Linked DNA regions of Rhinolophus ferrumequinum. The protein of the gene in region 3 purifies or fractionates together with the protein of the main gene of each other region. This does not show direct contact. Links are inferred from orthologs where the notes say so. Each region holds a gene or a part of one and is shown on either strand. Other genes may lie near its edges. The genes, in order: SRC, FKBP5, IKBKB and RIPK1.

Region 1 (7,120 bases), on a different chromosome or scaffold from region 3:
ACTCCTCCACAAAGCTCACACGGCCCCACATGGTCAAGCCCTACTGCTAGTACCCCTCGTTTCACCTCTCACCCAATCCTCCTAATTCTCTGTGCTCCAGACTCACAGGCTTTCCCTTTGTTTCTCCACAAAAGCATACACTCCCCCACCTCAGGGCCTTTGCACATGTAGTTCCCTCTGCCTGGCAAGCCCTTCCCCTAGCTCCATGCCTGGCCATCTCCTACTCGCTTCCTTTAAGATTCCTCTGTATCCCACACCTTTCTTTGAGCCCTTATCACATCTATGATGATATATTCATTTATTTGACAATTTGTTTGCTATTTGGCTCACCCTCTAGACTCAAATTTCTGGGAGGCCAGGGACCTGTTCACAATTCGCCAGCAAGGGCCTACTCAGGCTGACCACTCCCCACAACCCCAGGGACCCTGGGAAGTGTCTGAGCAGAAGAGAAGAAAGAGCACCCTATACCCTTCTTTGTTAAGTGAACTGCTGCTGCCCTCAGCACCACCTCCTGGAAGCTTCCCGATGCCTCCCTCCAACTGCTAACCCCATCACCACACTGCTCAGCCTGAGTCCAAAGCTCCTAGCACATACATAGTAGGTGCCCAATACGGGGTCATGAATGCTTTATTGAGGCGGGTTTGGGAAAACGGGGTCAAGTGAGGACCACGGGGCGGAGTCTGTCAGCAGGCCTCTGAGCCATCTCCTCCCTGGCTCCTGGGGTTTGGGAAAGCCAGACAACCACCCCCCCAACCCCACCCCAGGTCACAATCAGGGAAGAAGCAAAAGCAGGAACTGGTTGTGAACTAGGGATAATTCATGCTCCAAGAACAGAGTAGAGGACAGGAGAGAGCTGGGGGGCCTTCCTGGGAGAGGTGGGCCTTAAGCTAAGCCTTCAAGGACAAGAGCAGATAAGCAGCTCCTAGAGGAAAAGGCACTCTGGGCAGGGACACCTTCAGGAGCAAAGACCCAGGGACCACGCAGGAGGGCCTGGGCAGGCGGTCAGCTGAGAGAGGTGACACACTATAAATCATTGCCCTGGGTGGAAAAATCACATCACTAAGGAACACCACATCACCAAAAAGGCCTCGTGGCTTCCACGCATTCACTCATCAGTGTAGTCTTTTCCGACACCGCGGTATGCCTGGTCCCATACTGGGAAACCCCTGCCCCCACAACACTGGAGGGCTGCAAGGGCAACCGGAGTGGAGTCTCTGAGGTCTAGGTGGTTTTCATTCCAGCTTCCAACTCTGTGGCCTTGGTCAAGTCACTTGCCCTCGCTACACCTCAGTTTCTCCATCAACCAAATGAGGATAAGCAAGAGTCTCTCCCTCACAGGAGATGCTCTGTAGACGTTAGCAGCTATCATTCTCGTTGGCCCATTTTATACTTAAAACTGAGGCCAGAACGAGCAGTGAGTTGCCTAAGGTCACACAGCTGCCGGGTGGCAGGATTGCACTGGAGCTGTTTCTTTTTCAAGGAGTTATGAAGCAGCTTTTCTGACACCAATTCATCCTCTTCTGGAGATAAGCCCCACTGGGGCCAGCAACCTCACCTCCCACCCAGTTTAGACAATTTATCCAGTGAAGTACTCACTTATTAAGCACCTACAACAAGCCAAGCCCCTACATGCAGAAACACATAGATTCTTCCCCTGAGGATTCTCATTCCACATATGGGGACTCAGAGGATAGTCCCTTGGCCCAGGTCACCCAGTGAGATGAGAAGCCAATGTGTCTTGTCTCCCCAGTCAGGAGGTTGAGAAGAGGGTCAGCCACAGGACCAGCATGGCCCATTCGTAAAACCAAGGCTGGTCTCAGCTCACGGTGGCTGAGCCTGGACTCACCCCAGGTCACTCAGGGACGACTGCCCCAACTGTACAGAGTCCCTGAAGCTCAGGAAGCCTCACCCAGGCACACACACGCTCTGTCACGCGCAAGTTGGCCTGAAGGCCCCAGACACTGAACTGAGGCTCACTCCTTTTGTTCACCCCCATCCTTCCACCAGCCCAGCAATTCCAGCTAGGCCCACCTGCCACTGATAAAGACCCCCAGCTCAGAGAGGGCAGGCAGTTGTCTGAGGACACACAGCAGGGCAAGTGGTAGCCCTGTTGAGACTCAAACCCACCCCAACACCAGCCCAGGCAGGCAGATGGACCAAGCCTGGTGGCGAAAACCCAAAACTTTTGCCAACTTCTGAGCAGGCAGGCTGCTGGGCCTGACCAGGGGGGAGCCTGGGGGCTGTGGACGGACAGGAGGGAGCAAGCATAGTCTGGCCCAGTCCGTTCTAGCCCGGTGGCACCAGGCCCTACCCAAAGCCACACGAGGACAGATAAGTCCTGGGGCCAGGCTGGATGTTCTGGGCCCGGTGCTCCCAGGCCCACCCTGTCGGACCCCTTTCCACCTCCCCTCCCAGGCCGGGGGCTCCAGGCCGAGCTGCCTCGGGTGGAGGTGGCGCCGACTGGCTCAGATTTCAGATTTGGCCTACACCCGGCCTGGGGGCTCCGGCCCGGCTCACTGATCTCAGGGGGCTCGTAGGAGGAGGATGAGCCGGAGGAGGTCCCCGCGCGGACAGGACCCCGCGTCCCCCACCCCACCCAGCCCCCTCCCCCTTAGCATCACAACAAAAGGCCGCGCTGGGCAAATCCCCGTGCGCCCGCCCACCGCTCCGGGATCGGGGCTCCGCCGGGGGGTGTGGGGGTTGGGGGGTGGACTGGAGTCCCTGTGGCCAGGCGATCCGACGCCAGGGTGGTCCCCGGGCGGGGGATCCCCCACACCGGCCGGGACCTGGGGGCCGCGGAGGGGCGTGGGGGGCGGGGGAGCTCACCTGGGCCGGCGGGCAGGCGGGCGCACCAGCAGACAGACGCACCAGAGGGCAGACCGCAGGACGGCCAGGGGGTCGGGCAGACGGCGGCCAGGCCGCTCCGGCTCCCAGGCCGGAATGGATTCCGGGCCGGGAGAGACAGATCGAGAGAGAAAGGGAGGAGGAGGAGGAGGAGGAGGCGGCGACCAGGGGAGGGGAAGAGGAGGGAGGGAGAGCGCGAGCAGGGAGGAGGGGCCCGGCAAGCCGCCGGGAGGAGGAGGAAGGAGGAAGCGCGCGGGGACAGATTCCCCGCCGGTGACTCTGGAGATACCCATGCGCGACCCCACGGGTCCAGATGAGGCAGAGGGTTGGGGAGTGGAGGCCCCGGACACAGGAGCCCCGCCCCCACCCCGCCCCGTGAGGACGCCCCACCCTGGAAGACCCCATCCACCCTCATGCCAAAATGCCCTTCCTAACTACCCCCAACCTACCCACCCTATCTACCCTAAATCCACCTCTCCTATAAGTATGAGTTATAATAATAATAATAATATCAGCACTAATGGAGCGCTCACTCCTTGCAAGGCGCCATGCTAAGTGGATGGGGTAGACTTTAGGCTCCACTCCTAGCAACCAGCCAGGCTGGGGGATGATGATTTCCATTTTACAGATGAGGAAACTGAGACACAGAGAAGGGGGTCACCTACAAGAATCTTATCTTCGGACTCTGGTCCTGACCTGTTTCCCAAAGTGGGGCCTGGGGCCTGAGGGACAGTGTGAGGAGGAGAACACTTATTTTAATAGATACGTGTTCATTTCAATGTGCTTTTTAAAAAGTAACTAAGGCAGCCCATCGAGTTCTGGATATTCTTACTGAGTAGGGGGCTAAAGCGGGTTTTTACCGACAATTGCCCTTTTAAGTAAATAAAGAGGCAAAGTACATCCGGATGCTGGGGACAGGGAATATAGCAGAGAAAGCAGACATTGAGAAAATGCTGGTTTAGCCACGAAGCCTGCCCCCACCACAATCTGACCCCACCTTCCTCCCACCACCTCCTGGCCCAGGCTCCAGAGCTGCCCTATTAGAGCACCCCAAACCTTGGCTCTTCACCTGTCGTCCTGGAATCATGACCCCGGGGAAGATGGGCCCGAAGCCAGCCTTAAATACTACCACCTGCCTCCACTTACCTTCTCTGAAAGTTCCCCCATTTCACCCCTGGGAAACTAAGGGCCAGCCAGGTTAAAAGGCACCTGGCCTAGACTTCTCCTGAGAGAAGCTGCACGGGGAAGCCTAGAATATGGGAGGCAAAGTCCTCAGAGAACACAATAGCATCCAAGAGACCAGCAAGGCCTTGAGCCAGACTGATCTGGGTTCAAATCTAGGCTAGTTGCCCACCTATTGCACCTTATCCAAGTCACAGGAATGCACATGGTCCCAGAGGACTCCTAGGGAGGTTAAAACTGACAAGGGTGAGGATTGACTAAGGTTGTGCCCACCAAATGGTAGGGTGGTAAAACCAAGACTTGAGGAGATGGGGCTCCAAGTCAGCAGGGGAGCCGGCCCCAGAAACCATCCCGGGCGGGTGAAACGGTGGCACGGGTTTGCAAGGCTGGCTTACAGATTAACCACAGCTTCCCAGGATTCTGTTCGGGCTCCTGGCTGGAGGAGCAGGTTTCTCAGCCCTCATTCACTCCTCAGACGTGTCTGAAGGTCTTTCCTGGCCACACTGGGCTAGGAGTGGGATATTCAACCAGTGGTGTGACGGAGCTGGCTCTTGCCATTTGCAAGAGCAAATTGTGTTCATGTCTTTTCAACTCCAAGATCAATGACGTCACCTTGGTAAGTTGATATCAGTCACCGTGGAAGCATGTACATCTTGGAAATCAGCAAACACTGCAAATTAAGGCTTTTTTTTTCCCTTCCAGAGAGCTGGTCGTTAAATATTTACTAGCACATCACTAGATTCATCTCCAGGAGTTCAACTGAAAGTCTTGGGCTCCTATAGCGGGGATGACAAAGGGCTTAAAAGCACACTTTGGACCTACAGATCTGTGTTTAAATCCCAACTCTGCCACTTCTTGGATATGTGACCTTAAGCATGCCATTTCTCTAAGCCTCAGTATGCCAGCCTACAAAATGGGCTACAGATAGTGCTTCTCTCAGAAGACTCGTGTGAGGATGAAATGAGGTGCTGTAAGCTCGGTATGCCTGAGCCCATGTTATCATTCACTCCCCTCCATACTCTCTTGGAGCAGCGGGGGCCACTTCCACAAGTCTTGGTTCTATAAGCACAGAGGCAGCCCTCCACCTGGAGCCACCACTGGCTCCAAGGGCTTGGCTCAGTGGCTGAGATTCTCAGGAGACACTTCAGGAGGATGTGGCCAACACAATGGTTTTATTATTGAGCCTTGGAAATATTCATTATTTTTAATCCTCCCTCTGGGCCTTTGCTCAGGCTGTAACCCCTGCCAGGAATGCTCGCCCCATATCTCTAGCTTCCCAACATCAAGTTCCTGAGTAAATATCACCTCCTTCAGGACATGCTTGTCGACAAACCCCATCAATTTGGGGTGTGTCTGCCCCCACCCTAAGGGCAGGGACTACGGCCTGGCCTGTGCCCAGCATAGAGCAGACACTGCCCAGTTGGCTGGGGAGAACATACTGACTAGGGAGTCACATACAAGAGTTCAAGTTCCAACGCTTTCATTCATTGACTGTGTGACCCTTCCCTCTCTGAGCCTCAGTTTACTCATCAGTGAAATGGGACAATGACCCCACCAACTCCCAGGATCATGCAAATGCAAGAGTTGCTGGCCTGGCCTAGTGGATAAGTGACTCTTTGTGCATTATTTTGCTTAAAACCTTGTTAGTAAAACAGCAACTCATTGCTTAATACCTACAAATCATTCATCATCATTAATGGACAGCAAATATTTATTGACTACAATGGTATACACAGCCCTGGGCCAAGCCTGGAACACCAGAAAGGGCAATTTCCCAAACCAAAGCACCCAGCAGAAGACGGATATTCATGTCAACATTGCTTGCAATGGTGAGCACCTGTTGAACACTGTCATCAGTCTCTAGAAACCTCTTCCCTCCTTCCCACCACCTGGGTCAAAGCAGGATGGAAAGTGTGGAGTGAGGCCTGGGTTCACACAAGTGGCAGCAGACCCTTCGGTAAGAGCTTTCCCATGACATGGGATCAGGGGCGCTGCCTGCATCTCACGCAGGGCCCTAGTGGCTCTGGTTTGATGGGGGCCTATTTGCCTCACCCACCCAAAGCCCAGCTCACCCTCAGATCAGTGACCAGGAAGCTGGACCCAACACTGGCACTCAGCAGGAAATTCCAGACCAGCCTTGTCATTCCCCAAATGGTTTGCTATGAGTTGTCTATTCAAAGCCACCAGGCTCAGGCCTAAAGGATGGGGTGAAAGAATGTGCAGGCTCTAGCTTGAGGAGTGAGCTTGCCACCTCCCATAGCCCTGCACTTTACAGTTTATACAGAGATGTCCAGTTTGTCAAGTGCACCAGCCGATCTGGCCCTTGATAGCCAATTAGGCCTCCCTTGCAGGCCCTGGTCCCCTTCCCTCCTCTATCAAGCCTGCCTCCCTGCTTTCACGCCATCACAGCAGCTCATTACGTCCTGAGGCCTCTGTACTTGCTGGTCCCTCTGCCTGGAATTCTCCCCACCCTCTAGCCTCTGACTAAGGCTTACACTTCCTTCCTCTGGTCAGTCAATATTTACTGAGTATCTACTGTGTGCTAGCATCTGTGCTAGGTGCTAGGGATACAGCAGCGAACAAGCCAGGTCTGGTCTCTGCCTGGACTTGCTCACAGCCTGGGGGAGCAGGGAAGCATAACCAGTGCACTAGGCACAGTGGCTGGGCAAGCGTGGGGGTTGAGGGGCCCAAACAACGGGCCCCTAACACAGTTTGTGTGTTGGAGTGCAGGGCTGGTGAAGAAAGGAGGCTGTTTGTGGAGAGGGTAGAAGCCTGAAGACATGGCTTCTGGCGACAATGGGACAAAGGTGTTCCAGGCAGAGGGAACGGCATGAGCAAATGCACGATGGGAAGGGTGGCAAGGGTGTGCCCTGAAGATCCTTAAATGCTGTAGGCAGTGGGGAGCCATGGAGGGTTATGAGCAGAGAAGGGCCTGGGGAGATGTGCTGTCACTGAGTTTCAGGAGGGAGATACAGGAGGAGGGAGGTGCAGTCTGGACGCCTCTACACTGATGGCAGCCACAGCTGAGGACCCTATGTTGGATGTGTATGTGAGCACATACCTGGGTTCCAGGGAACGAGGCCAAACTGGACCA
Region 2 (7,663 bases), on a different chromosome or scaffold from region 3:
CACTTTAAAGAGCAATTATATAAATCATCCATAACTAGACTAGTGAGAGCTCTAGACTTGTAAGATTCCTTACAACTATTTATATAGAATAAAACCCATCCTACATGAAGACAAGCCACCATTCAACCAATCTATCCTAAGGGTCAAAAAGCCACCTCAGTTTTTAATAATAACTTCTACAGCGATAGAAAGAGGATGTTCTTTCATCTCTAGACTGATTCCTTCTAAGCTAAGAAAACTTTAGGAAACTAAAAATAACCGAAGATACCTATTCTTTTCCAATCCAAGAAAAAAAACAGAAAAATTAAGATTAATTGCCCAATCCATTATTTTTTAAATTTTTTATGTTGAACTGGTTAAAATTATGTTTAAAAAAATACATTCAAGGGGTAGTGGTAAAAGAGGGAAAAGGGGGTCAAATATATGGTAATGGAAGGAGAACTGACTCTGGGTGGTGAACATACAATGCAATATATACCGTTTCCCCGAACATAAGACCTAGCCGGACAATCAGCTGTAATGCGTCTTTTGGAGCAAAAATTAGTAAGACCCCGTCTTATTTTACTATAAAACCGGGTATAATATAATACAATACCGGGTCTTATATAATACAGGGTCTTATATTAATTTTTGCTCCAAAAGACGCATTACAGCTGATTGTCCGGCTAGGTCTTATGTTCGGGAAAACACGGTAGATGAAGTACTATAGATATGTATACTTGAAACCTATATAATTTTACTAACCAATTTCACCAACAAATTTTATAAAAATTAAAAAATGAACAATAAAAAGACACCAACCGCAAAGTCCCAAAAACTAAAAAAAAAAAAAAAAAATTAAAGATTCAGAAACATACTTGTTTTACTAAGATGAAAGACACAACATATAAGCTTGTTATTTTAGAGAAATAAAACATTTTATAAAGACCATCTTTGATTTTTTTGTTGTTGTTTAAGCCCAAAGTCACAACAAGCCTCTTGGTTGGAGTTCAGCTTTAAATATTGCTACTAATTAGCTAGGGAAATAAGTAAAATCATTCAATGAAACACTAATAAGGTAGCATAATTAATCAAAATTGTAACTTTGTTCTTAAGATGTTAAACTTAATCTATTATGTATAAATCATACCCAAGACAAATATAAAAGAAGTCACATTAGAAAACAATCGAGTAAAATTGTGTTTCTCACAAATGAATGTTAACAACCCTAATTTAAAATATATATTTTATATTTTTAAAAATAATTATATTATTTTAAAATATATTTTTCTATAGATGCCCTAAATTGGTCAGGACCATAATTGCAGATTGTTAAATGGAAGTCAGTTAGGAAAGAGACAAAGAGAAAATAAGTGAAAGTATGACAAGTGAAAATTTCCCACAAAAATAATGTTTTAAGACTATCCTTGAATTTTGATTCAAACAGCAAGAGAAAAATCTGCATAATTTTCTGAAGTAAAAACCCTTGGGTGGAGGGGCCGCACGGAACTCCATCGACTATTAAAAATAACCAAAATGTTGCCTTAACTTTTTTTCCCTTGTCCACAATCTAACAAAATGGGAAGGCAATGAAAATAAACACTCCTATCTACCCTCAGAGAGGCAAAGAAAGCTCCCATTCAATGCTAAGCCTTATTCCACTGGAAAACATACTCCTGAAAAGTAAATCCAAAACCACGAGCTCAAACTGCTTCGTGCAGAATTTACTGAATGGCGGCCAAACGTCGTACACGCTGTCCTGAACCATACTGAAGGCTATCTAGAGTTCTGCGTTCTCCATTTACAACTTGTACCTTACTATGCTTTTCCCACCACTACAGAAACCGATTTTTTAAAATGAGACTAAAATGTTCCTCCTGGCTCGTCAATCGAAAGAGGTCATTCTACACTGACCGTCCTCCCACCCCCGCCGCCACAGACACACACACACCAATTTTTCTTTTATAATCAACACTGAGTTTGATTATACAGTCAACTGAGTTTGATTCCTACAGTCGGCAGTACACCTTCTTAGACAGCAATTGGGGAGAAAGCGTTATAACGTCCCAGGAGCGAACTGAATGAATAAGGAACCCTCAAACAACTTTTAACTGGCTTTCAGCCGGCACTAATCACCTGTTAGAATGGGCGCTGCGCTGGCACCCTCCAAGAGCGCCTGAGAGCGGGGATGCTGTCCCCAGTCACTCGTCCCAGGGCGGCAGGTGAAGGCGGTGAACGCGCATCCGCACCCACCGCCCGGGCAGCGAAAACCTAAGCAAGGAGCGCAGCAGCCGGACACTCCGTTATCCTCACCCTCCGCGGGCCCCACCAGGTGAGCGAGGCTCCATTGCGCCCTCGGCGTCCCGGCGCACGGCTCACCCCTGCTCGACTTCTCCCGCCGCCCAGGCCGGGAAAGGCGAAGTTTCTCTCCCGCCCGTGGCGGGGGTGCACGCGCCGCCAGCTCTGGGCGGCTGCGGTCACCGGTGCCGGGCCTCGGGTGATTCTGAGACCGCTGACGGGAGCCGAAGCCGGGACCTGTCAACCCCGGCGGGAAACAAAAGCCGGGTGAGGACGAGCAGGCGCGACCAGCCTCGTCTCCGCGAGGGGGAGCGCGGAGGGGAGGGGAGCGGCTCCCGTTGCCGCCCGGCTCCGCGCCTCCCGGAGGGAGCAACGGCCCCATCGCCCGGCGTGGCGTGGCGCAAGGGGCCCCGCAGTGGGGCTGGGGGCCTTCGGCGCGCTGGCTTCAAGGCTTCTCGGGCCCCGCTCGCCCAGACAAGCTGCTCCCGGGCTCGGGAGCCGCGTGAGGGGGCGGGGAGGTGGAACGGCGGCGGCCGGAGCGCGAAGGAGGGGATTCGGCTCCCCGGGCACCGCAGCTGCCCGCCCCATCCCTGCGGCCATGGCGCCGATACCTGTCGCAGCAGCTGCTCGTCGGTTCCGTCTCTCTCTCTGCCTCACCCGCACCACCGCTTGCCCCTCAGCCCGCCCAGCAGGCCGCCCGCGCACCGGACGCCGCAGCCCGAGACTGGCAGCGCCCGCGAGCCGGCCGAATCCCCGGGGCAGCGCCCGGCACCGTCCCGCCCCTGCCTGCCGCAGGACCCGCCTTCCATTGGGCCCTGGAGCTGTCAATCCGCCCCCAAAAGGCGCGCGGGCTGTTGCTCTGCTTGTTCGGATTGGTGGCCGCGCGCCGTCCATGCAAATAAGGCCCCGCCCCCGTCCATTTGCACCTCCGCCTTAGTGTAACCTCCGCCTCTTCACGCCAGCCCACGTGTCTGGCCCTAGCCCTTTGTGGGGGCAGGAGGGAAGGGCTGGAGGAAACTGACCGACGCCCACCCCCAACACACATACACCATCCACTACCTCCAGAGAAAGTAATGCTTGAACAAACTAGTTGACTTCGCATCCGAACAGTCTCTGAAATCTCTGCTCTCCTATTTGTCCAACCGGCCTGCCGGTAGGATGGAGAGGAACAGGCCAGGCTGTTGTGTCAGACAAGCAGACTGGGTTAGCCCCAGGAAACAACCCCAGGAAGTCAATGTTGCCCAGTTGGGACTGGGAAAATCCCATTTCCAGAACCAATTTAGACATAGCACTTCTGTCTGGACTCTCAGTAACTGTGAAGACTATGCTTTCCCATGGCTTTCTTCTTTTCAAACAGATCCCAGGCGATTGAAACAGCAAAGGACCTTAAGAAATGTTTGTGTTTTCTATCACCACCCAGCTCCCAAAAGATAGGCCTGCTGAGCAAACTCAACTTCAGGAGGGTCCCAGGCCCCTCCAAGGAGATGGGCACCTCTGAGTTGCTCCCATAGACATTCCTGGGCCTTGCAGAATAACTAGATCAACCCCCTCGTTTTTTGAGGAAACAGAAACCTTGAGCCCCATAGCAATGGGACTTCATACGGTAGTTACCTGTGGAAACCTAATGTCTCATAGCCAGATTAAAAGCCCTGTCTCCTAGCTCCAAATCTGCTCTCTGCTCTGCATCACATTGGTCATTTAGACCTGCCTTCAAGACGTGGTGCCTGTAGGAAAGACAATTAGAGCCAACACCGAAACCTCAAGGGCAAGGGCCCTGTCTCGGGGCCCAGAAGTTTCCCTTTTTACCCGATGCCTGGGAAAGTCACTGAAACAATTTATTCATACATCATTTCAGCAAGACAATGGTGATTAAAACTACTCTGCATACTATCACCAATAGGTTAAGCATTTACTATGCTTACTAATAGCAGGTTTTAAGCACTGTGCTATGTACAGGGCATGCATAGGTGAGCAAACATTGTCCCAGCCCTTGAGGGATTAAGCCTACGAGACAGTGACATCCACAGTACATGTCAGTGCTCCTCATGTTACAGGGATTGTGACAGATACCCGCATAGGGCACAATGGAAGGCTCCAAGGAGGGAGGAATCAGCTCTTCCTGGGAGAGGCAGGGAAGGCCTCCTTGAAGAGGTGAGACTAGATCTGTGTCTTCATAGATGGAGTCTTGAAAGATTGTGTTTACCAGATGGAGGAATGTGGACGAAGGAAAGGGACTCCCAGTGGGGTTGGGGTGGGTGAGGGGAGATGAACATGAACAGAAAGAATACAGATCTGGAAAAGCCTAGTAACTGAGGGAACAGCAAAGAGCACTGGGGGCAAAACTGCAGGGCTGTGTGGCCATGTCATCTGCTCTGGGACCAGGCTCTTCTAGGAGGAAGACAGAAAGGCCCGGGAGGCTGCCAGGCTGTGTTGTAACACACCGCAGCAAACAGCAGGCCCTGTACATACAGCTGCAGGCTTTTTTATTTTTTTCTAGGCTAGAGTCTGTGGGGAACAGTCAGTTCCACAGTTGCAATGGCAGCCTGGCTGGCCCCACCCACTCTCAGACAACCACTCCGGTTACTGCACTTGCCCTCCTCAGCATTTGGAAACATGTGTGCTTGCGATTTCCCTAAATATTGCTCTTGCTCTTCAGAATTCAAAGATAATGTGGTCAATGGCTGCAGACACCTGGGTGTGGGCTGACCAGCCCTTTGCTAAGGCACAGAGCAGTTCTTTGCAGGGTTTGTCACCAAGGCTGGCATTGTGGGCATGTGACCTGGGCTTCGCTTAATGCTCTGCTGTCACCATCTCGAATTTCTTAATCATTTTTCAACAAGGGGCCCTACATTTTCCTTTTGTGCTGGGACCTGCAAATTATGTAGCCAGTCCTACCTGTCACTGCTAATGTCCCTGACAATGCTTGCGATACTGCTTAAACCACAGCTCACTTTTAAAGCACTTGGCATTCACTAGGTTTGTTCATATGTACTGTATCACTTGATACTCGCAATGGCAATGTAGGGTAGCCAGTAGTACGAGTCCCATTCATTAGTTGAGAAAACTGAAGTTTAACAACCTTCTCCAGGTGGCACAGCTAGGAAGTAGCATAGCTTGTACTTGAACTCAGCTCACCCGAGCCCTATTCCATTGGCTGCGAAGCTACCTCCATGTTGGTTTCAGAATCCTTTCAAAGGCAGATCTGCACATGAAAGATATACTGTTTTAAGAGTCAGAACTCGTGATAGAGTGGATATCTGTCATTTCACAGCTGCCTGTCACCTTTTGAATAGTTTTTCATCAATTTGAAAAAATTCTCAGCTATTATACTCTCATGTTCAAATACTGTTTCTGTACCTTTTCCTCTTTTGAAACACGTTAGACCTTCTCACTATTGAAACACATGTTAGACCTTCTCACTACATCCCTTTCTTCTGTATTTTCTATGTTTTGTCCTCCCATGCTTTGTTCTAAAAGTTTCTTCTCACTATTTTTCAGTTCGCTAATTCTCTCTTCAGCCTTTAAAAAAAAAAATTCTCCTATTAAACTTATCCATTAAGGTTTTAAATTTGATTATTCTATTTTTTTTTAGTTCTAAAATTTCTATTTTGTTCTTTTTCAGATCTGCTATGTCTCTTGTTATATCTCTTAGTGCCCTGCTTTAGTGGTCAAGCTTGGCTTTTCTCTCCTTAAGCATAGTGAGAATAGTTGTTTTATGGTCTGTGCCTGTTAATTCCAATCTGGAGTCCCTGTGGGTCAGCTTCCATTGTCAGTTTTTACTACTGGTTCTTCCTCATGTCGTTGTAGCTCATCATGTACCTGGTTATGTTTTGGACCTTGTATTTAAAAAATCATTTGCAGCAACGATGATAATATCTTCCTCTGGAAAGGATTTCCATTTATTTCTGCAGGCATCTGGGGACACCAGTAAGCTAGGATCATCTTAACCCAATTTCAGGACTTCTGATTTCTGAGTCTCCCAGATGACTTGAAGGTGGACGATAGTCTGTGGGATCATTTGTTTATTTATGGATCCCACTTATTCAGTGCTTCAGTTCTTTGAGGTCCCAGTCAAAGATGGGGAATTATTTTAGTTGTATATTGTTCCATACCAAACTACCTCAAAATTTAGCAGTTTAAAACATATGTCAGCAGACTTTGTCTTAAAGGGCCAGATGGTAAATATTCTAGGCTTATAGGCCATATGTTCTCTGTCACAACTATTCAACTCTCTCATTGTAATACAAAGCAGCCATAGACAATACGTAAATGGATAGCATGGCTGTGTTCCAATAAAACTTTATTTACAAAAACAGGCAGCCATCCTCAACCTGATAAAGGGCATCTACGAAAATCCAAAACAAATATCATTCTTAATGGTGAAAGACTGGATCCTCTCCTCAGGAAATAAGGAACAAGACAAGGATGTCCACTGTTGCCACTTCTTAATATTGTACTGGTGGTTCTAGCCAGGGCAATTAGGAAGAAATAGAAATTAAAAAGAAAGAAGTGAAACCATTTCTCTTCACAGATAACATGATCTTGTATGTAGAAAATCCTAAGGAACACATGCACTAGAAAACAATTAGAACTAATGAACAAATTCAGCAAGGTTGCAGGATTCAAGAGCAACAACAAAAATCAACTGTATTCCTGTACAAGTTCGATGAACAATCCAAAAATGAAATTAAGAAAAAAAGTCATTTATAATAGCATCAAAAATAATAAAATACTTAGGAATAAATTTAATTATACTCTGAAAACATTATTGAAATTTAAAAAGACCTAAATAATTGGAAAAACATCCCAGGTTCATGCATCAAAAGACTTAACATTGTTAAGATGGCAATACTCTCCAAATTGATCTACAGATTGAATGCAATTCCATCAGAGTCCCAGCTGACTTCTTTATAAAAGTCAACAAGCTGATTCTAAAATTCACATGGAATGTCAAGAGACCCAGAATAGCCAAAACAATATTTAAGAAAAGAAGGAGGAGGATTTGCATTTCCTGATTTCAAAACTTACTCAAAGAAATCAACACTTGGTACTAGCACAAGGATAGACATATAGATTAAAGAAATAGAATTGAGAATCCAGGAATAAACCTACATATCTTTGGTGAACTGATTTTTGACAAGGGTACTAAGTGTTGGTGAGTAATGTAGGAAAACTGGAACCCTTGTGCACTGCTGGTGGGAATGTAAAATATTACAGCCTCCGTGGAAAATGGCACTTCCCATAATCTTAAACGCCGAATTACCATATGGTCCAGCAATTCCACTCCTAGGCATATACCCAAAAGAACTGAAAACAGGGATTTAAACAGATACCTGTACACCAATGTATATATCATTATTTATAATAGCTAAAAGGTGAAAATAAT
Region 3 (7,523 bases):
TACAGCAGCCAGTGTAAATGCTAAATCTTTGTGGCCAGGCTAGTTTGCAATGGCTCTGGCCAACCTCAACACTGGGCGTCTCACCTACAACGTGGGGGCTGCTGGCCCTGCCCAGCAGGACGTCCTGCTCCTTCTTGCCCCACAGCCCCCAGCACAGGAGAAGAGAGTAGAAGCAAAGAAAGAAGAATGTGAGGGGTCTGATGATGACATGGGCTTTGGCCTTTTTCACTAACCCTCTTTTGTAACATGTTCAATAAAAAGCTGAACTCAAAAAAGTAGTGATAAGCGCTCTGAGGGACTAGAACAGAGTGTGGTGACAAAATAGCCAGTTGTGGTGGAGAAGAGGACCTATTTTGAAAGGGCGGTTAAGGATTTAGCAAAAACAGGAGCTCAGAATCAGAGGTAACTAAAAAACATACCACCCACCTCACTCACCATCACACATCACCATCTCTTGCATCAAATTCCTGAAGAGATGTGAAAGGTGAAAGTGCACTGGGCCTTTCACTGTAAGTGGGGAGGGTTTGAGCCCAGTCACTGGGATCACAAAGAACAGGGATCTCAGCTGACTTCTGGATTACTGCTTTTAAAAAATAACAGCATTAATAACTACTATTCAAAGAGGGCTCTGTACTAGGCATTTTATGTACATAATCTCACTTAAACCCTATAATCATGAGGAGTAGGTTTTAGTAGATCCCATTTTACAGATGAGAAAACTGAGGCTTGGGGAGATTTAGTAAACTGCCAGAGCTTACAGAGCCAAGAAAACAGAGCCAGGATTAGAACCCATGTCTTTCAGACTCCAGGGACCACTATATCCAAGAGCTAAAGAGTGCAGTTATCCCCAGTCTTTGTAATTCACTCATTCGTTCATTCATTCATGAAAATTTTTTCTTTTGTTTTTTAAATTTATTTTCTAGTTACAGTTGACATGCAGTATTATATTGGTTTCAGGTGTACAAAATAATGATTAGACATTTATATACCTTGTGAAATGATCATCCAATTAGTACCCATTTGACACCATACATAGTTAATACAATATTACTGACTATAGTCCCTCATCCAGGAAGTGTTTATTGAATACCTTTGATGTACCAGGCACTAGAAATGCAACAGTGAACAAAATCCCTGCTTCCATGGACCAAAGTAGCAGCTCAGAACTGATGTGAGCTAAGAAACATACCTTCCAGGTGATATAAACATATACACCCAGCGCATATCTGTGGTCTTCCTGCCTCCACTGCCAAGGAATGGGCAGCTGTCCTTTAGTGACTTCTTCCACTTTAATTTGAATTTACTAGAAGAAAAACCTCTGTGTGTAAACATGAAGAGAGTGTGCAAGCTATCATTCCTCCCTCAAACTATCATTCTTCTGGGGAGAATCCTCAGGGCCCCAAATCCTCAGCTTTCAGTGTTTTATCCAAGGTTTAAGGCACGATGGCCTGGCTGGCCCTGTTCCTCTAAAGACTCACCATTGGCAGGTCTCATTCACAGAGATAGAAGTTAGCTGCCTTTTCTTTCCTTACTCTTCTGCAGCCAGCTCTGCACTGAGTCCTGAAGGATCTGGGGCCAAGTTCATTCTCACCATCAGTCTCCACCAGCTCAACTCCACCTTCTACTCCTCCCAACTCCCCTAGAAGAAAAGTGGATTTCTTCATGTCTTCCAACTAAACGAGTTTTCCAACTTTTCTGGCAGAAGAATTTTTGTTTGTTGAAGGAGCAAGTCCTAACTTGCAAAGTCCTCTTTCTGCAGGGCTGGGATAAAATAAACTTGGAAGAATAATAAAAGAGTTGCTGAAGTAACTGAACTAGAGCTGCCTCTGGGTGCTGGGGTGCTGAAGAAATCCTCCTTATCCTGAGTGGTCTGTTAAATTGCTTTCTAATCTTTTAAGTTGGCTTCTCTTACTATGAGTCAGCTCCCAGATTGTTCTGGAAACAAGCCTTTTCTCACTCAGAGGAACTCAGTGCTGCTTTGACTGGCTGCTAATAGGTGAGAGAGCAGTTTTCTCAAATGATGACACAAAAAGGCTAAGTAAGAGGATAGTTATCTTTGACTTACCCTGGGAAAAAGATTTTATTTTAAAAGGAACCATTTAGAAACTTTATCCTTACCACTAATACCATACTGCCTCTACAGCAGAACTAGTTATCACTGGTTTTTTATTACCTGATCCTTATCTCTCATCATTTGTTGGCTTTCTGTGAGTCTTATGGCCCCAGTAAGATTCCAGGTGCCTCTGAAAAGAGTTATATTGCTTGGATCCCCTGAGTCAGCAGTACCCAGGGCTCTATGAGGCACTCGCACTGCTTCATATTTCTTGATTACCCTATAGTTACTGCTAAGTAACACACTCAGCCTCAAAACAGGAAGAAAAAGGAATAAACATTTTTTTGTAAACAGTCCGCTCACATCTCTGGAGAAGGATAGAGACCAGAGGTGTAGACAGTAGACATGTTTTATCTGGAAGGAAAACAGGGCTTAAGCTGATTAATATCTTGGGACATGATAAAACCCAGTGACCCTTTCCTGAGCCATCATTTTTTTAAAATCTAGTAATATATGACTTATCAGAGAGATTTATGTTTAGTTGAAACACAAGTTACTTTGAGCTGAGCAAATGAGAACTCTTAAATTATAGCAGTACAGAGTACGCCTATGGCCTATCTGTGGATATTTAGCTAAGTTTCTCAGAGACAGTGATTTTCAGAGGTGAAAGGATTAAAATGAAATCTTTTATGATGTCATATAGGAGATAGACTCTACATAGGGACCGGCACATATTGGAGCTCAATAAATAGGTTTTATTTTAAAAATGTATTTATTAAACAAACTCTTATGTTGCACTTAGAATATGTCAGGCACTATTTTAAGTGTTTTACAACTATTTACTCATGTTCCTTTCTCTTCCTGCTTTGAGGCTGAGTGAGTGTGCTGTTTAGCAGAGACCATAGGGTAAATTGAGAAATCCTGGGCAGGCCTCAGTGCCTAGGGTGGCACTGGGCACTGCTGGTCGATCTGTTTGGGGTGACATAATTCCTGAGAGTTAATTAACTTCAGCCTCTGGGCTCTGTTCAGGCAAGAGTGTCCTGTGTGTCAAGCATGGCTCTGCCATGACCTCATCTGTCCTTCACAACAACACTGCTGGCGCCTCCTTTCTCTGACGCGTGTGCCCTCCTATATTTCTGTTGCTTTTAGGCTGAACCAAATGAAATCGCTGACGTTTGATGCTGATGTTTTGACTGCTTTTGTCTTATTAAAAAAATGACTCAAAAAAAATGTCTTAAAAATATTTCATGTAACTCAATCTAATATTGCCTACAGTTTAACAAAGAGAAATGGAGGCCTGGAGTGGTTAAGTAACTGGCCCTAGTTTCTTAGAGGTCGTCAGTAATAGTAGTATCTGGCTTCCAAATCCAGTTGGCCTCCTTCTGAACTTCTTAGTAAGCTACTATTAATCAAATTCTAAGAGTGTGGGCCCAAGAACCGTTGCTTGGGGTTTGACTATCAGATCATCCACTTACTAGCCTGTGATTTTGCGATAAAGACTTTTCCTCTCCGTGCGTGCTTCAGTTTTCTTATGTGTAAAATGGAGACAATAATGATAATGCAGTATTGTCCAATTGGTAGGGTTGCCTTGAGGACTGAATGAGGAAATTCAAGTACATAGTTTAGACAGTGCATGGCACTTAGTAAGCTCTATAAAAGTAGCTATTATCATTTCAGGTTCCCTATAATACTTTTTCCTGCTTGAGTAAATATACCAACATACACACACAACTCCTTTGTCTTTTAACATAATGCCACAGATCTGAGAAGCTATTTATTATAAAAGACCTTATTCCAACGCCGAGTAGGTAGGAGATGAACAATAAACCTCAGGGCTGAGAGCCTCTCTCAATTTTTCTGCATCACTGGGGCTGACACGGGCAGTTTAGTGTTGCACTACTAGGTTTCGCCCCCACCCCTTTTTCTTTATTTTCTTAGGGGGGGAGAGGGAGCTGTCACTTCTAAGGAGTAAAGTTGTGATTTATCATTCTTGATGCTGAGCCAAAGAACCTCCAGACCAGGGGAGCACAGCATGAGGCCAGGAGGCCAAAGCCAATTCTTGTAAACAGTCCTTAAATCAATCCTAGCGAGGGCGCGGGAAATTCCACCTAGTTAAAAATCTAGGAAGAGGGGTCAAGTTCACTACGGGAGGACTGGGGTGAGGAAATCCCCATCACCTCTGTCCTAGAAATCGCTTCAGGCCGGTTACTTAAAGAGAACTCTGGCGTATTAGGGTTTGTTTTCGGGCTGTTCTTTTATCTCCGGGGGCATAGCCTGCCTAATTTCGATTAGAATTGTCTAGAAGCCACATGCATCCATCCCGGAGTCACCTGAACGCGGGGTTCTCAGGGTACCGACCTGATTGCACCGCCACAGTCCGCGGGCACGGGGCGTGGCCTGGGCCAGCGGCCCTGTGGCCCCTTTAAGGGCCGGCCGCGGTCCACGTGGTCCGTGACGTCAGAGCAGGAAGTGTTTGAGGAAGTAGCGCTCGGCTGGCATGTTTAAGATTCCCGTATTTTAATGTCTGCGGGGTGTTACCAGAGCCCCCAGTTTTGTCGCCCCAGCCCCGGTTCCCCCGCCCCGTGTCCCCGCCGACAGGTGAGTCCTCGGGCGGGCGCGGGCCGCGGGGCGCCGGGGCCTCCGTGTCACCTGCCGACCCCTCGTCTCCTTCGCCCAGGCAGGCTCGTACCTCCCGCCTCCCTTGAGGCTCTTGAAAAAACTTCTGTCGAGTTTAAAAGTCGGGGGGTACTGGGCACGGAATTGTTTCTCTTGTGCCGTTGGAGTTGGGAGGCCCCACCAGCGGGGTGGTTCCAGGTGGATACTTGGAAGTGGGTGGCTTTGGGAGAGAGCTGTGATTCTTTCGGACTGTGTGAAGACACACGTGACCGTGGGACAACTCAGATAGATTCTCTCTCTGCCACCTTGGGCAGAATGGCAGGGCAGGTCTCCCCTTGCTGGAGTCCAGGCTGGAGAATCCCATTTCGAGGCAATGGGGCGTGGGGTATCATCTCCTTTGAGTGACTTCCCTCCCTGCTTGCTTACACAAGGTTGAGGTTGGGTTGGGAAAGATGAGAAAGCCAGAAGTTTGCTACCAAAACCAAAAAACAAACCAAACTGGTTTATGTACAAAATAAAAACCTCAGTTTCTCCTTTTTCTCTTCCACTGGAGCTCTATGGTATCGCTTACCTTCTCCATCTCATTGAATTCCATTTTTTCTTAACCATAACCTTTTGTCCCCCACCCCAAATTGCTTACAGAGTTAGCACAGCATCAGTATGAGCTGGTCACCTTCCTTGCCAACCCAGACATGTGGGGCCTGGGAAATGAAAGAACGGCTTGGAACAGGGGGATTTGGAAACGTCATCCGATGGCACAATCAGGTAGGGGCTCTGTGCTGATGGGAAGAGCCATGGGCCGCGCGGGTGGGGCGGGGAAGACAGGCTCTCCCCACCCCACCATTGCCTCTGCCTACCCCACAATGTGCAGTGTGCTGGCTGGGTGAATGGGTCTCACCTTTGGTCATGCGCTTCTTGGGAGAGAATGAGAAGGGGGAGCAGTGAAGGGGATTCAGGGCTGCTAAGCTGACTCTAGCTTAGTGGTCTCCGAGCTTTATTGATTATGCCACCTATTAAATAGTAAAAAAAATGTTCAGCTTCCAGCCTCAATTATATATATTTTAAGTTATGTATCTATGCTAACATTAGACTATCATGTACTAGTGTATTGTGTACTAATATATCACATGTTATAAAACATACAAAAATAGAAAAATTTAAAGGATGAGGGTAATGAAATATTTTTAAATGTTTAAAAAAATTTGTTTTACATTTTAAATATTTGCCAATTATGATGTCTTCCCAGTATTGTTTGCAATACTTCACAACACAAAATACACAGATACACGTGAAAGTGAGGATTATTCTTGAGGATATCGTATTTAATACAGATGAAAATCCGTATTTAAAATAATTTTTATAATTTTGAATTATTTGCACTGGTTTCTTTTTAGATCTGATTGGAGCCTCGTTGTTTTTACTCCTTACGTGTTAGACTTGAGTTTCTCACACTAGACGTGTTCTTCCATCTTCCTGTTTGCTTGTGCAGGTGTTACACATACTAAAATTCTCTGCAAGAATCTTTTTAAGCCACTTGTCCATTTTATGAGAGTTATTTTATTGGAATAATACAATCCATAATTTTACCTGAGTGGGGCACACATGACCTGCAATATGTCCCCATCGGCCCCTGTCCCCCTGCCTATGGAACGCCCATTTTCCTCAGGATACCTCGAGTACCAGAAGAGGCAAGTGACCTTCTGACAAATGACCTGAGGAGAGTGCCATACAGTTAATATCAGAAAAGCTTAGTTTCTTTTTAAGTCTTTGTGGATTGCAGTCTTGGATACCCTTGGGGTGCACATACCCAATTTGGAGACCACTGCTCTAGGGAACCCTCACTCACCAAAGAGCCAAAATTTGCTTCCTGACTCAAAACTCAGACCTACCGAAGTCCTTGAGGAAAGGCACCTGTTTGTTAGTTAAGAGCTGCTTAGCACCTTTTTGGACTGAAAGAATGGCAAATTGCACGCCATCCCGGGAATTTGACTGCGGTGAGCAGGGAGGGTCATCAAGGCTACTGGCCAGCCCGCACTGTACTCTGCCCTCCAGTAACATTCTCACACCCAACTGGTAGACTGGGGTTCCAGCAAACCTATACCTGGCGTACGGGGGCCTTAGAAACACCATTGGCTCAGAGTTATCCTGGTCAGAGTATAGCCAGGGGCCTAGCATTGCAACAGAAGAGGCAGATCATTCATTCCACAGCTCCACATATACCTGGGCTCGGCTGCTTCTAAGCAGGCAAGGGCTTCTAGAGTCCTGACCATGGCTAACTTCTTGCTGCAGCTGAACTAGAGCCATCCTGGTTTCCTTCCAAAAGAATTCTGTCCAAATGTGCCATCTCCTTGTCTGTCATCTTTAGTTCATAATGGCTGCCACCTGCCCTCTGGGTTTGGAAAACCATTGTCGGGTAGAATTCATTTCTGGCTGTATAGATTGGCCTAAGAATGTGTGTGTGTGTGTGTGTGTGTGTGTGTGTGTGTGTGTGTGTGGATTACTCTTCTAGAATTACTCATTTCAAGTTCCTTTCCTTGTTCAAAACTTTAAACTTATTTTTAAAAAGCCAAATGCCAAATTCCTCATCCTGCCGTTGGAGGCCCGTCAGAGTCTGGCCTCCTCCTATCTTTCTAGCATTGGCGCCCCGTGTTGGCTCCCAACAGGTGTGTCGGCTGAGCCCTCTCTTGGACAAGCCTCTCTTTCCTGGACAGCTTTATCTAAATTCTACCCATTCCTCTGGGATCAGCTCTCGACCATCTCATCCATAAACCTGTCATGACTCCTTCATTCCGTGGGAATTAGTTCCTCCATTGAATGCCTTGAGCTCCACTCATTTGGCGTGCCTCACATAATG
Region 4 (7,327 bases), on a different chromosome or scaffold from region 3:
TGTCTGCTGAAGTTGTGGGTGCCAGACGTTTTAGGTTTTTTCTAGTTTCCTTTTTTTCTCTCTCCTCTGCTGTTTTTTTGTTTTTCTAAGAGCTCTTTCATACAGAGTTGATATCTTGTAGGTCTTTCCATTTAATCCACTGTTATTATTCTGGAACCCCTTTGATGTAGTGGTAATTTGTGAAGGAGGGAAAGCATTTTATAATCTTATGATTAAATCTCAGCCTTTCCATTTTAAGTGGACTGATTTTCCTTCTCCCAGATAGATAACACTCTGGTAAAGTTTTTTCCCTGGGAGAGCAAGTCTTTGATATGTTGAACTCTTGGGATGTATTTCAAAATGGTTTCTTCCCCCCTCCCACTTCCAAAAACATGAGAAGATTTTCACTGGTTCTTTACCTTGAGAATTTGGTGGGATTTCTGATGGTAAAATCCATGAAAGTGTATCCATCCCTGCCCCCAAGTCTGAGCCCTTAATAGTTTCTCACTCTCAAGCTAATCAACTCATTCCCCAGAAATTTACCAAAATTACCATTTAATTGTTTTACCAGTTCATTGTCCCAGCAGTTTCTGCTCCAGATATGGTGATATTAGTTGTGATTGCCCATATTGATCTGTCTACAGATTTCAAGGTAGACGTTTGCACTTTGACTTCAATTCTCTGTTGAGTCTAAACAGAGATTGGTTGATTTTCAGTTTGTTTACCTTTTTTCTTGTTGTAATTATAGGAGCAATAACTTCCATTTTGTTTACATATGGAATTGAAACTGGATGTGCCAATCAAGTTTTAGCAGAGGTGAAAAGGCAATTCAAAGGATAATCTTTACAAGAAACTGTTAGAACAATTGGATTATCTGTATTAATAAAAAAAAAAACTTGATCTAAATTAAACATCATGCTTTATACAAAAATTGCCTCAAAATAAGTCATACTTCTAAATGTAAAAAATAAAGCTATAAAATTTCTAGAAGAAAATATAGGAATAAACTTTATGACCTGGGCTGAGATAAAGAGTTTTTAGACATGACATCAAAAAAAAAAAATCTATAAAAGAAAAAAAAATTGATTTGAGGAGCATTAACATCTTAACATTGAGTCTTCCAGTCCAGAAAGAGGGAAAATCTGTTTATTTATTTAGGTCTTTTTTCACGTCTCTTGGCAGTATTTTGTTCTTTTTTTAGAGGTCCTACATATTTTTTACTGTATTAGTTGCAATGTTAATGCTATTGTAAATGCTGATGCTCTTCTAACTTCATCTTGTATTGCTTCTCGCTAGAAACAGAAATACAAATGATTTTTAATATCTATCTTGAATCCAATGACCTTACTAAAGTCACTTATTAATTTTAGGTTTGTTTTAAATTCCTTTGAATAGTCTACACACATAATTATGTCCTCTGAAAATAATGACAATTTTATTTTTTCCGTTTCAATATTTTTATGTTTTGATTTTCTTTTCTTGTTGCAATGGCCAGAGCTCCTGGTACAATTTTGAAGAGAAGTAATGATAGTGGACTTTCTTGTCTTGCTCCTAATTGCAAAGGTAAGTGCTTAGTATTTCATGGTTAAGTATAATGTTATCTATAGGTTAGTGTAAATATTCTTTATTTAATTAAGAAAATTCTATTCTTAGTTGTCTAAGAGTTTCTATCATGAACAAGTCTTGAATTTTTATCCATGCTTTTTCTCGAGTAGGTTATATGATGTTTTTTCTTCTGTAATGTGGTGAATTACTTTGATTTTCAAATGTTAAACTAACATTGCATGTATGGAATAAACCCTAGTTGGTCATGATGTATTATCCTGTTAGAGAGTCACTAGATTCAACTTGATAATATCTAATTTAGGATTGTTTGCCTCCATGTTAATGGGATATATTAAACTATAATTATCTTTTCTGGTGCTGTCCTTGTCAAATTTGGCTACCAAAGTTAAGGTGGTCATATTAAAAGCTTTTAGGAAGTTTTCTCTTTTTCTCTTGTCTAGAATAGTTTATGTAGGATTTGCATTATTTCATCTTTAAGAATAGTTTATGTAGTATTTATTACCAAGGAAGTCATTTGGGTGTGGAGTTTTCTTTGATTTTTACTGATGCATTCAATACAGGACTATTTCAGTGTTCTATTTCTTCTTCAATCATTTTTGACAAGTTGTATTTTTCAAGAAATTTCTCTAGTCCCTCTACAGTGACATAAAAGTTCGTTATGTCACACTGTTGTCATTATAACATTAATGACATAAAATTGTTAATAATTATCCCTTATTTTTTAATCCTTTTAAATTTTGTATAATTTTTGTTTCATTCTTGATAATATTGGTCTCTCTCTTTGTCAACAGGGTCAATCTTGCTGGGGGGTTATCACTTTTAATCTTTACAAATGGCCAACTTTTGTTCTTGGTTAATTCCTCTGTTGTATGATTTCTATTTCAATGATTTATTTTCTTAGATTTATTAGAAACTTACGATATTTTTGTTGAGTTTAATTTCCTGTTTTTGCAACTTGAGATGAGCATCCAAATAATTGATTTTCAACCTATCTTATAATATATGCATTACAAGCCAGAAATATCACTCTAAGAATGAAGTTGGCTTTATCTTAAAAAAAGTCATCCACATATTTATTATCATTTAGTTAAAAATATTTTCTTGGGACCGGCCCGGTGGCTCAGGCGGTTGGAGCGCCGTGCTCCTAACGCTGAAGGCTGCTGGTTCGATTCCCACATGGGCCAGTGGGCTCTCAACCACAAGGTTGCCAGTTCGATTCCTCTACTCCCGCAAGGGATGGTGGGCTGCACCCCCTGCAACTAACAATGGCAACTGGACCTGGAGCTGAGCTGCGCCCTCCACAACTAAGACTGAAAGGACAACTTGACTTGGAAAAAAAGTCCTGGAAGTCTTGTATCTAGTACCTGCTTGGCATATGGTAGTCAGAAATGTCTGCTAAATGAATAGGCCTCTTTCATTGTATACGTGTAATTTTATTGTTTACAGCAGTTTTAGTTTCACAGCAAAACTGAGTGGAAAGAGCAGAGTGTTCACACATATTCTACCCTCTCCCCAAAACAAAACAAAAAACACAGCCTCTTCCACCATTTTGCACCAGTGTGGTACCTTTGTTACAATTAACCAACTGACACATCATTATCAAGCAAAGTCTATAGTTTACATTTGGTTTCACTCTTTTGTACATTCATGGGTTTAACAAATGTATACTGTATTCACCATTATAGTATCACACAGAATAATTTCACTGCCCTAAAAAATCCAGTGCTCGACCTATTCCTGCATCCCACCACAAAAACCTGAGAACCACAGATTTTTTTTCACTGGTTCCATAATTTTGTCTTCTCTAGAATGTCAGTTAGAATCATATATTATGTACCTTTTTTCAGATTGCCTTCCTTCACTTAGAAATAAGCATTTAAGATTCCTCCATGTCTTTTTGTGGTTTGATAGCACATTTCTTTTTAGCACTGAATAATATTCCATTGTATGGGTGGACCACAAGTTTTTTGCCCATTCATCCACTGAAGGATAATATTGGTTGCATTCAAGTTTTGCCAATTAGAAATAAAAGTGCTATAAACATTTGCATGCAGGTTTCTGTATAGATGTAAGCTTTCAACTCATTTGGTGAATATCAAGACATGTGGTTGCTGGATCATATGGTAGACTGTTTTTAGCTTAAAAAATAAAACTGTCAAACTTTCTTCCAAAGTGGCTGTACCAATTTGCATTCACACCAACAATGAATGAGAATTCCTATTGTTCCACATCCTCACCAACATTTGATGTTGTCAATATTTTGGATTTTAGTCATTCTAACAGGTGTGTAACGTGGTACCTATTATTTTTTCAAATTTGCAATTCAATAATGACCTATAATGGTGAGCATATTTTCATATGCTTACTTGCCATCTGTATTGTCATGTCTATTAGATCTTTTGCCCATTTTCTACTTGGGTTGTTTCTTTTCTTAATTGTTGAGTTGTTTTCAATATACAGTTGACCTTTGAACAAGAGTTGGGGGTGTGGGGCGCCCACAACCTATGCAGTCCAAAATCTGGGTATAACTTAAGTCTGCCTTCCAAACATGAAAATACAGTTGAAACTTGAACAAGGCAGGTTTGAACCGCGTGGGTCCACTTAAACACAGATTTTTAAAATACCCCTGTATGTGGACCCGCGCAGTACAAAACCGCTTTTTAAGGGTCAAATGTATTTTGAATAATAGTCCTTTATCAGATATGTCTTTTTCTTTATCAGATATATATTTTGCAAATATTTTCTTCCAGTTTGTGGCTTCTCATTCTCTTGATTATATAATATATAATCACGCTGTGTATTATTTGCTTTTTAATACAGAACTGTATCAAGCTTTTCCCATTTTTCTTGAAGATTTCCCAATCATTTCCCAGCCATTTTAAAGGGCTGGAAAATAATAGCACATTTCTCCCTGCACAGCCCCAAAGAGCAGATATTATTATCCCCCCTTTACATGTGAAGAGAGGTAAGAGAATCGTAAATTTGCCTGAGGTTCAAGCGCTGCTTAACCTGCAGAGCCCAGAAGTCCCTGGGAGACCTACCCAGTGCTGTTTACTCAGCTAAGCGGCCTCTCCCTCAAGGCGGAGGTTTCTAGGACTAGGCATCATTACCTTTTCTTTGGCCTTCCAACTCTTTCAAATAAGTAGAGCAGGGATTCTTTGGCTGACAGATCTTGGGGACCGACGCCCCCACGGCCGCAGGGCGGGCGCCCTCCCCATCCTCCTCCCCGGCAGGAGGCGGAGCGAGCAGTCCACGCCCCTCCGCCGCCGGCGCTTACTCATTCGTCGCTCTGACGGCGGGGACAGCGGACAGGCCTCCCCGAGCGCAGGGGTCCTGGCTGGCCCTCACCTCCAAGGGCCAACCGCGCGGTCCCAGCGAGGGGAGGGAGTGCGAACCACTCGGCTGGACGCGCGCGGCGCGGCGGGGCCGACAGAGCCGGGCGTGGTGAGCGCGCGGCGGGGCGGCCACTCTGCGTCCCGGTCTCCCCAAGCCCGCTGAGCTCTGTACCCGGTGACCCGCCCCGCAGGACTCGGGCGTCCTCCCGCGGCGCGCCCCAGCGAGGTGGCGGCGAAGTCGGTGTCATTCCTGAAATTCCTACCGCTGCTTCTTTCCTCACTCAGGCCTGGGGAAGTTTGCCGCGGAAACGAAAGTAAATAACTCGGGTGCGTCTGCGCGGTAGCAGTGGCAGCGCCCGCCAGATTTGGGACTCTGTCTGCTTCTGGGCAGGCGGGCGGGGCTTCCTGACGGGGCGGGCTGTGGGCGGAGAGTGGGCCAGTTGGGTAGTGGGTGGGGCGCTTGGCATTCCCGGAAGTTGGTCTGTGAGTAAAGCTGTTGTGGGGATTGACCCGGGAGAGCACTTTCCAGGCTCTGGGCCTCACGTGGAAAGGTGTTGTCTTGGTTAGTAGATGGCCATCAGCTGTAATCAGATGGCCATCTGCCTTGGCTAGGTGTCCATTAGTTGTTACTGGTTAGCCCTTAGTCGTTAATACTACTGCCGTGGCTATGCTGGCAAGGGGGTTGCTTGGCAGAGAAGTGGATGGCAGGTTGCCGCTAGCCAGTGTGGTTAGCAAGCGGACTGTGGATTGCGGATCCTGTTGATCCTACTTCCTGTGTCTCCCCTGGCCGCCAGGGAGACAGGATTGCAGGAAGACCCTCTCATTGGGGTACTGGTGGATGTTTGCTTTTGTGTCTCTGTCAGCCGCCAGCGAGAATATAGTGGTATGACTCCCCTATCTATGGCTCCGTGGGTGTTCTGTTTTGGCCTCACCGTATCCTGCGTTCTTGTGTGGGGAGCGGGACCAGAGTCCCTGCATTATACCTGTCGTATTCCCGGAAATCGGGTGGTGGATCCAATTTCCCCTGCACCTGTTCGGGAGGACGAGGTGAGCGGATGCCCCGCAGCAATCTGGGTCTTGTACTCAGTTTTAAAATCCCAGATATCTCTCAGCCAAAGGAGCCCATCTTTATTTTGTTTTAAAGGAAATTAGGAGGACAGAAGAAAAGAGGAAATGTTACCCAGTCCTAGAAACCTCCACCAGAGTTCCGGGAAATCAGGTGCAGAATTGTTAACTGTCCAGGTCTCTGTCGCTCTCAGGCTTGCGGGAGGTTTCGGTGTAAATCCGTACTAGAGTGGAGAGACCTGACCTCAGGTCACTAGAACCGTGTGACGTAGGAACACACCTTTCGTTGTTATTATCTTTGTTGTTTTGGTAGGGGTGATGGGTTTCCATTGCTGTAGCTTTCCGGTACAATCATGGATGCCCTTGCCATAATAGGGTAAGTAGATGTCTCTAGTTGGGACTTCTTACCAACCTTTTGAAAGTACATTTTACTGTTGCATTTGAGGCCGTAGCGGGTTGCAAACAGTGAAAAGCATTAATGCGTAATCTTAGACGTGAACTGGCAAATGGAAAAGAAGGGTCTACAGCCGCATTGACAAAAGGGACAAATGTCGTAACGCGTGGAGGCCTCTTCCGTGGTTAGTGGCGTTTGCTTTTATGAAATGCTGCAGAATCTTTTCAGGGTTTAGAAGAGGATTAGCTACATCCTTCTCTCTTAAGCACTTGACAAAAGCCCACAGGAGTGGGTGTGTGTTCATTTCTTTGTGTCTTGCTGATGTTTTGTCTCTTCCTTGCTCAGAACTCTTGTTTATCTTGGACAAAGCCTGAGGCTGTTAAAATCAACCAACTTTGCAGAAGTTTTTTGGTCTTTAAACCACTACTATTAATTCTTCCCTAATTTACACTTGAAGAAATCAAAGCTCAGAGTGAACTTTGGAATATAGAGTGACTTAGTACTTGATTTGCATCTTGTAATCACCAGGTTGGTACAGTAGTAACGAAGATATTATGGTCAATTAGAAATGTACACCTGAAGCTGAAGCTGAACAATATTGAATGTTGACTACAATTTTATATATATATATGTATATATATATATATATATATATATATATATATGGTTACAAGAAGTGGAGTACAGCATTAGGAATAGAGACAGTGGAGATGTAATGGCTGTGTGTGACGTCAGAGGGGTAGTAGATGGGGGAAGAGGGGTTGTCACTGTGTGAGGGACATAAATGATAAATGTCTAACTATTAGATTGTTTTGTGCACCTTAAAGTAATAAAAAAGATGTTAAAAAAAAGAAATGTAGAAAACTGCCTTTTTCTAAACAGAAAATGAAGACTAAACTTGCTTCAAACAGAATTTAGAACTTATTATTACTGATAAAACAGCAGTAACAATTACTTTAATTTTCATTTTCCTCTATCTGCACTATAT

The links.
Region 1: the proteins of IKBKB (region 3) and SRC purify together in Homo sapiens (affinity purification with western blotting; 3 studies listed by BioGRID and IntAct, with this or other methods). This does not show direct contact. The link is inferred for Rhinolophus ferrumequinum from reciprocal best matches to the Homo sapiens genes IKBKB and SRC.
Region 2: the proteins of IKBKB (region 3) and FKBP5 purify together in Homo sapiens (affinity purification with mass spectrometry; 3 studies listed by BioGRID and IntAct, with this or other methods). This does not show direct contact. The link is inferred for Rhinolophus ferrumequinum from reciprocal best matches to the Homo sapiens genes IKBKB and FKBP5.
Region 4: the proteins of IKBKB (region 3) and RIPK1 fractionate together in Homo sapiens (co-fractionation; 3 studies listed by BioGRID, with this or other methods). This does not show direct contact. The link is inferred for Rhinolophus ferrumequinum from reciprocal best matches to the Homo sapiens genes IKBKB and RIPK1.

Annotation. Positions count from the first base shown.
Region 1 is NC_046306.1:18,599,362-18,606,481, forward strand, and holds the start of SRC (proto-oncogene tyrosine-protein kinase Src), read right to left. Parts: upstream 3,011-7,120; 5' UTR 2,827-3,010; intron 1-2,826. UniProt on the Homo sapiens protein: Non-receptor protein tyrosine kinase which is activated following engagement of many different classes of cellular receptors including immune response receptors, integrins and other adhesion receptors, receptor protein tyrosine kinases, G protein-coupled receptors as well as cytokine receptors.
Region 2 is NC_046286.1:5,717,687-5,725,349, forward strand, and holds the start of FKBP5 (peptidyl-prolyl cis-trans isomerase FKBP5), read right to left. Parts: upstream 3,020-7,663; 5' UTR 2,889-3,019; intron 2,515-2,888; 5' UTR 2,359-2,514; exon of another isoform or gene 2,293-2,358; intron 2,139-2,292; exon of another isoform or gene 2,116-2,138; intron 1-2,115. UniProt on the Homo sapiens protein: Immunophilin protein with PPIase and co-chaperone activities. Component of unligated steroid receptors heterocomplexes through interaction with heat-shock protein 90 (HSP90).
Region 3 is NC_046287.1:58,290,591-58,298,113, reverse strand, and holds the start of IKBKB (inhibitor of nuclear factor kappa-B kinase subunit beta), read left to right. Parts: upstream 1-4,514; 5' UTR 4,515-4,651; intron 4,652-5,311; 5' UTR 5,312-5,329; coding exon 5,330-5,434; intron 5,435-7,523.
Region 4 is NC_046292.1:90,729,979-90,737,305, reverse strand, and holds the start of RIPK1 (receptor-interacting serine/threonine-protein kinase 1), read left to right. Parts: upstream 1-4,323; 5' UTR 4,324-5,194; exon of another isoform or gene 5,195-5,207; intron 5,208-5,399; exon of another isoform or gene 5,400-6,321; intron 6,322-7,327. UniProt on the Homo sapiens protein: Serine-threonine kinase which is a key regulator of TNF-mediated apoptosis, necroptosis and inflammatory pathways.